Sus scrofa: one gene and its partner. The protein of the gene in region 2 purifies or fractionates together with the protein of the main gene of each other region. This does not show direct contact. Links are inferred from orthologs where the notes say so. Each region holds a gene or a part of one and is shown on either strand. Other genes may lie near its edges.

Region 1 (3,806 bases), on a different chromosome or scaffold from region 2:
GTCATTTTCTGTCACATTGTTGGTGATGCGATGTTGGCTTCTTTCCCGGCCACCAGTACACACGGCCAGCCTCCGACGTCAACATGCTGGGTGAGATGATGTTCGGCTCTGTCGCCATGAGCTACAAGGGCTCCACCCTGAAGATACACTATATCCGGTGAGTTGGGGCAGCTTCTGCAGCCATGCGACACAGACTGGGGTGCCCACCCTCTCATCAAACTCTTGTCTCTCCCTCTCTGCCCTTCTGTTTGTCTCCAGCTCTCCTCCACAACTGATGATTAGTAAAGTCTTCTCAGCCAGAATGGGCAGCTTCTGCGGGAGTACAAATAAGTAAGTCTGGGCTTTTGTATCTGCCCTCACCCTCCAACCCCCCTTTTCCTAAGTGGCTGTTTCTGGATGGGGTCATTATTTGGGGGCCAGGAGGTTTTTTTGAGAAGAGATGCAGAATGAGTCTACATCAACAAAAGGGTTTTCAAAGTGGCTATTGTCCCACACATAGGGAGTGTGAAAAGGCCTTGGACCTTATCAGGTAGCCCTAGAGACAAATGACTGTCTCTGCATATATTTTGGGTACGTTCACCAAGTTTTCATTCCCTAGAAAATGAAAAGGGGAAGGGAAAAAGGAGAGGCCACAGTAATGAGCTTATGTGATTATGAGCTTATGATATTATTTTACCTTAAAAAAAAAAAAAAAAAAAAACCTTAGGAGTTCCCATTGTCGTGCAGCAGAAATGAATCCAACTAGTATCCATGAGGATGCGTGTTTGATCCCTGGCCTCGCTCAGTGGGTCAGGGATCTGGTGTTGCCGTGAGCTGTGGTGTCAGTTGCAGATGTGGCTCAGATCCCACATTGCTGTGGCTATAGTGTAGACTGGCGGCTGCAGCTTCAATTTGACCCCTAGCCCGGGAATATCCATATGCCTCGGGTATGGCCCTGAGAAACAAAAACAAAAACCTCATCTGGGAGTTCCCGCTGTGGCACAGTGGTTAAGAATCTGACTGCAGCAGCTCAGGTCACTGAAGAGGTGTGGGTTCCATCCCTGGCCCAGAGCAGTAGGTTAAAGGATCTAGAGTTGCCACAGCTGTGGCTTGGATTGGCCCAGGAACAATGTGCCGAGAGTGTGGCCATTAAAAAAAAAAAAAAAAAAAAAAAAAAATTCTCATTTGTTAGTCTGTTGGTCTGTTTATTTCTGAAGGAGTGACGCACAGAGTGGGGTTCTCAGGCCAAGGGGCTCCTGAGTGGCAGGAGGGGCGTTCTGTGTTTGCCATCTCTCTACCGTCCAGTAGCCTCTGTGGCTGGTAGGGGCTAGGGCCAGGTGATATTTTGATTCTTCCTCCTGAATTTCCACCCCCCTTTGTTTTACACTTCTTTGTAATCTGAAAATACTTAAATGCCTAACTTAACTCTTATTCTAGCACATTTTTTCATATATTTTGAATTTTTCAAGCAGAAATATGTCATACATTCCTTTTTTTTTTTTTAATGAAACAGCAAAACATTTGTTATACGTAGGTAAGTTTGAAAGAAATGTTTGTTGTCAGTTAAAGGGCTATTCTTAGGGGTCACATGAAGGATGCTAATTTTACAGTCCTGGGAATTTGAAAGCATGTTTCTCTGAAGATTTGGGCACCACTGAGTAAATCTGGTGACTCTTCAATGGAATCATGAATTTACTTATTTGAACATTTAACACTGGATGGTCATGACTGACGCCAGTATAGGAATTGATGTTTATCTTTTGTGAGATATTCTTTTTCAGACCATTGATATTCCCTGAACATTTATACAACCCCCCCAATAAAATATTAAGGTCAGATATAAGTAAAAATTATGTTGGCCTCAGGATGCTATGTTATTCTCAAAATTTTTGTTTGTTAGTAAATACAATAAATTATTAAAATGTGCTTCTCTCATATGTGTATTTGTGATTGTAGTTTTTTAGAAGTTGTGAAGTCAAGCTCCTATAGGAATCATAGTTTCTGTCACATGTTCCTCTTGAAAAAAGTTTTAGATGTTAACTCAGGGTTAAACTGAATTTGACTTTGAAGGTTTATGTAAATATCCTGGGTGTCATTTTCCAAAGCAAGATGTGTAGAGTTCAGTGTTCCCCCCACCCTTACATAATATAAAATTGTTTGGAACATGTTATTTAGTTTTATAGGTTGAAGTACTCCCCAAAGCCTTACTTGTCCTTTCCTCCAGCAGATTCCCATAAAGTTTCCTTTCCTTTGGTAGATGTGAGACTTTATTTATAAAGAGAAGTCTGACCAACTGTCAGGGTGTCTGTATCCGTTAGCAAGCAACCTTCTCCGTCTCTTGATGTTTTTCTCCTCTCTCCCTTCCTCCCTCTGGATTTAGCCTGCAGGACAGCTTTGAATACATCAACCAAGATCCTAACTTGGGGAAACTGAACACAAATCACAACAACCTGGGTCCCTGTCGGACTGGAAGTAACTTAGGTAAAATCCACCGCATGGACGGCTTCCTTCTCGCCGAGCATCACTGTGGCGGGCGTGCGCTGTGCTTTACTTGAGTTGGTGGTGTCGTGTTGTTTTCGGCATTATCTTTAATCTGTGTTTATTTTTGTGTGTGTACCTTGTTTGCCCACCCGTGTGTGTCTCTGCCCCAGGTGTGCTGCAGGGATGTGGCAGCAAGCTGTCACGGGGGGCGGCCGAAGGAGGACCACTCCCGCTCAGCCGCAGTGCCTCCTTCTTCGCAGGTTTGTGGGGGACGCTGAGTGCCTGTGACCCACGCCCGCTAGTCAGTCCCAGGCAGGTTCTTAGAAGCCAGTCCTGTTTGGTGCCTCTCTAGGAATCCGAGGGGCTCTTAAGACACTAGTTTCCAATGCTGCCAAGTTCCAGGTGTTGTGGAAATTTCTCTCGCGAACCTCTGTTGTGAATGTCTCTGCTAACACCCAGGTGGAAGGTGATTTGGATCTGAAGTGAGCCCTTCGTGTTCCTAAGAGGATAATGTTTTCTGATGTTCCTCAGCCCCTCCTGCTGCTGTGAACTGTTTCCCTTTGCTGTGGCACCTTTGACCCTTTTATTCACCCGCACCCTCACCTGCAGTGTCTTCAAAAGTCACTCTAACCAGAGCATGGACGACCTCTCTTTCTCTCTCTCCTTCTCTCCCTTTCCCTAGCATTTGAGTAGTTCAGATGCACTTTCCAGCTTCTTTCCAGGTGTAATTGTCTCGGTCACTCCGGGTAGGTACATTCTGAGATTGGCCTGGCCTTGTTTGCCAAGGCTGTCGGATGTCTGCTGTGGTCCTGCATGAGCAACACGTATGGGAAGCCTCATTACTAACGTGAAAGATTGGGTTTATGGCAACCAGTGTTCTTCATTCTGTTTTCCTTCATAGCCTGAAATCCACTAGGCACCCCAGTTAACTGACCCCAGAGTGAGGATAACATGTTGATATATATGCTCCTTAAAATTGTGAAAATAAACATGCTTCGCCTAAGGGCTGGCAAGTATAATAATCAAGCAGGGCATCGGGCTCCCTGTACCCTGTAACTCACGGTAACTCACTGTGACATGTCAGCTACCATCCAGCTCAGTAAGTACGCAGTCAGACTGATCTGACATGTTCCTAGAGGTCTGTAACCCTTCAGAGGATTTTCTAAGTGGCTCTACAATAATACCATGTTTGGGTGTATATGGGGAAGAGGTGGAGGAAGAAATATTTGAAAATGAATATTGGTGTTTTCTATCTACCAAGAGAAGGGATTATAAACAGAGAGGCATTTTTTAAATGTATGAAATGGTTTTCGAGTCTTTCTCTTCTCTGGGATGCCTAGAGTTAC
Region 2 (3,806 bases):
CCGCCCAGTGGCAGGGCCCGCAGAGGGACCGCGGCCTGGGCTGTGTGGCCTTATCGGGCCGCTTCACTCATCTGGACGGATGTGACTGCGGCTCTACGGCTGAAACGACACAACCAAGACTCGCTTTAAAAAAAAACTTAGGCGCTCCCGTCATGGCGCAGTGGTTAACGAATCCGACTGGGGACCATGAGGTTGCGGGTTCGATCCCTGGCCTTGCTCAGTGGGTGAAGGATCCAGCGTTGCCGTGAGCTGTGGTGTAGGCCAAAGACGCGGCTCGGATCCCGCGTTGCTGTGGCTCTGGTGGAGGCCGGCGGCTGCAGCTCCGATTCGACCCCTAGTCTGGGATCCTCCATATGCTGTGGGAACAGCCCAAGAAAAGGCAAAAACACTCACACACACACACAAAATCCTAAGGGAGTTCCAGCAGCTTAGGGAACTGACACTGTTATTATAGGGGCTCAATTCACTGCTGTGGCAGGACGTTTTATACGCTGCAGGCGCAGCCAAAAAAAAGAAGATAAAGAGGAAAAAAAGAGAAAGGATTGAGAGAAAAGGCGAGAAGAAGATCAAAGGGCAGTAAAGATGCAGGGAGCTGCTAAAGCTGGACAACGGGAGCGTCCAGCTCTTTGGGCTGCTCGTTACACGTGGAGTCCGTGTGAAAATTTCCCTAAATAAAAGGACACTTCTGACAAGTAAGTCCTTGAGTGCGGCTCCTGAGAATCTGCAAGCTGAAGAGAAAAAGAATCTTTCTGCCTCACCTGACCTGGCTCCTCCTGCCTTTTCATTTTTATTTTTTGCTTCTTAGGGCCGCAGCTGAGGCATACAGAGTTTCCAGGCCAGGGGTGAAATCGGAGCTGCAGCCACCGGCCTCCACCACGGCCACAGCAGCGCAGGACCTGAGCCACGTCTACAACCTACACCACACTCCGTCGCAACGCCAGATCCAAGCCTTGCGGTGACCTACACCACAGCTGATGACGACAGCAGGTTCTCAAGCCACTGAGTGAGGCCAGGGATTGAACCTGCGTCCTCGTGGACGTTAGCTGGGTTTGTTTCTGCTGAGCCACAATGGGAATCCCCTTCTTGTTCTCTCAAAATCGTTTTATTAGGAAGAAAGACAGGAGGAACTGTACGCCAGGTGCTCCCGCCTTAGTGTGCAGGTTCTCGGGAGCTGCACTCAGGGGTCTACGTGAGAGGAGCCTCCACACCAGGCCCTGACGGGGACGCTGCACACGGATGCAGGTCGGGGGTGGGGGGGTCCCTGGAAGGAGCGCAGCCTGCAGCGGGAGGAGGAGAAACCCCCTGCGGCCCGAAAACAGACCGGGGTGGTCTCCAAACACGCCCCCAAATCTGGCGACGCTTCCCCCTCTAAAAGAAGGGGACAAGCCTTCTCCTCCCGCCAGGCAGCGCCTAGCGACAGGGGCACACTGGTGACAAACAGCGCGTGCACGAAGCACAGGGGGCTGCTGGGGTCGGTCCTAAGAGCAAGCAGGTCCCATCCAACTGCCCCACACAGCCGGCGACGACACGCCAGCCTCGAGAGAAAGCAACTCCGCTGAGACCAGGCGGGGCTCCTGGCAAGTGCAGACCCCCAGGCTGTGCAAGACCAACGCGCCCCGCTGTTTACGAGAAAGGGGAGACTGCTCGTCCTGGCACAGAAACATCACTTTGAAAAATCCACTAGGGAGCTCCCGCTGGGCCGCAGCGGCCGGGGATGCTGTGGAGCCTGGGGCTGATCCCGGGCCTGGGGCAGCGGATGCAGGGACTCAGCAGGGCCGAGGCTACAGTTCAGTCCCTGGCCCGTGAACTGCCAAGTGCCACAGGTGTGGCTGCTCAAACACAAAACACATCGGGAAACCAGTCCCACCTAAATGCGACCCGGCCCCCCAAACCAGAGCACAGCCCCCCCGCCAGCTGTGCGGGGCGCGTTACCAGGCGAAGGAGGTGTGCAGGCAGGCCCAGAGGCTGTCGTCGTCGGTCAGGGAGGTCAGCGAGCGGGCGGCATTGCCGTTCCTCTGGTGCAGGAACGGCGTGAAGGCCGTGTTCATCCTCTGCGCGCGCTGGGGGCACCCAAACTGCTCCGCCTCGAACACCTGACACGCACAGGGAGGGTCAGAGCCGGCTGGGCGCCCGGGCGCAGCTGGCACCCCAGCCTGGAGGCGGCTGCCAGACCCTGGCGAGCACAGCAGCTCTGCCCACGGGCGCCGGAGACGAGGCTCGGCCGGGAAGCTCTCCTGCAGCCGCCCCTGCAAGGGTCCCCCCCTCACGGGCCGGGGAGGCTCCCCCTGCTCAGAGCTGCAAAGGTGGAACACGTGACCGCCCAGGGAAAGGAGGGGCCAGAGGCGCGAGGCCTCCACCCCACCCCGAGCCTGGCAGCAGGCAGAAGCAGCAGGACTTCGGCCGAGCCGACCATCGACCATCTGCCCCGCTGCCCGCGCCCCCCCCGCCCCCCTCCTGGCCGACGGCTGCAGAACATCAATGAGACTCGAGCTTGTTATCAGAGCGCCACCGGCCTGTCCTGAGCTGCAGCCCTGCCGCCGCAGGTGCACCTTGGCCGTGGCTCTGCAACCTCGGGCACACAGGCCGCCAAGGTCACGGCCAGAGACGGCAAAGCCAGCGGGGACAAGACCAGAGCTCCGCCTGCAGCAAAGTCAGAGTCCAGGGACCAGAACCAGAGACTCGAGAGCCCGTGGAGGAGGAGGCGCCCCGCGCCTCGGCCGGAGCCCCGGCCCCGGTCACCTTGAGGGCCTTGCCCTGCAGCTCGTCGATGATCCCTCGGACCCTGCCCAGCAGGAAGGGCCAGGAGTTGATGAGGTAGATGCGGTCCATCATGATGGCGATGATGCTGTACCAGCGCTGGAAGCCGCGGGCCAGGCTGTCCTTGATGAAGAAGGTGTGGCTGAACACGAAGCCGTGCTGCTCGTCCCCGAAGAAGATGGGGCCTTCGCGCCCGGGGCAGACCTGCGGGACGGGGACACCTGCTCCGGGGCGCCGTCCTCGGCGAACCCCGCGGAGAGCGGGAAGGGCGAGGGGACAGAGGAAAGGGGCCTCCTAGAGGTGACATGCGACCCTGAGAACCGCGAGGGCCGGCGGGCTCCCGCCTCCCCCCACCTCGAGCCATAAACCACGACGCAAGGTCGCAACCTCGCCCCGCGGGGCCACCCTGGAGTGCTGGCAGGTCTACACAGCCGCGCAGCGACGACCGTGTGACAAGACTTGGAGGAGACGTGGGCCTCGCTCCCGACACCCCGCCCAGCACACACCCACCCTGAGCAGGGGAACAGGGGGCAGCAAGGCGGGCACACGGCGCCCAGGACCAGCAGCGAGGGAGCCTGGTGTTTCTCAGCAGGGGTACCCCGCGACAAGGAGCGGCTGCCCCCAGACTGCATCCTCTGTGACGAGGACACAGGCTAAGGCGGGAACACGACATCGGCAGCTGCGTATCTGAGACGTCCCGACCCGCGCCAGGCGGCTCGGAGAGCACACAGCGACTGACGGGGACGAGGCGGGGAAGCGACACCGGACGTGAGCAGCGCGTCCGTGAACAGCCGCTCCCTGAGGGCCGGGGGCTTCAAGCGCCAAGCTGGCCACGGGCCAGCCTCCACCAGGGCAGGGCGCACGCGGAGCCCCGAGGCCGCCCGCGCCCGCTCGGCCCGGCCGGCTTTGTCTGGCAGCACCACCAGCCGCCCTCCGCTGGTCACGGAGGCGGCGCTGGCCCCAGGGCCCGGGGCCCGGGGAGCGGGAGGGGCCCGGGCCGCTCACCTCACAGCTCAGGCTCCGCACGCAGGCCTGGCGGACGATGCTGA

The links.
Region 1: the proteins of FLCN (region 2) and FNIP2 purify together in Homo sapiens (affinity purification with western blotting; 5 studies listed by BioGRID and IntAct, with this or other methods). This does not show direct contact. The link is inferred for Sus scrofa from reciprocal best matches to the Homo sapiens genes FLCN and FNIP2.

What each region holds. Positions count from the first base shown.
Region 1 is NC_010450.4:47,775,729-47,779,534, forward strand, and holds part of FNIP2 (folliculin-interacting protein 2), read left to right. Parts: intron 1-56; coding exon 57-157; intron 158-258; coding exon 259-330; intron 331-2,359; coding exon 2,360-2,460; intron 2,461-2,630; coding exon 2,631-2,720; intron 2,721-3,806.
Region 2 is NC_010454.4:61,035,454-61,039,259, reverse strand, and holds part of FLCN (folliculin), read right to left. Parts: coding exon 3,763-3,806; intron 2,962-3,762; coding exon 2,740-2,961; intron 2,094-2,739; coding exon 1,933-2,093; intron 1-1,932. UniProt on the Homo sapiens protein: Multi-functional protein, involved in both the cellular response to amino acid availability and in the regulation of glycolysis.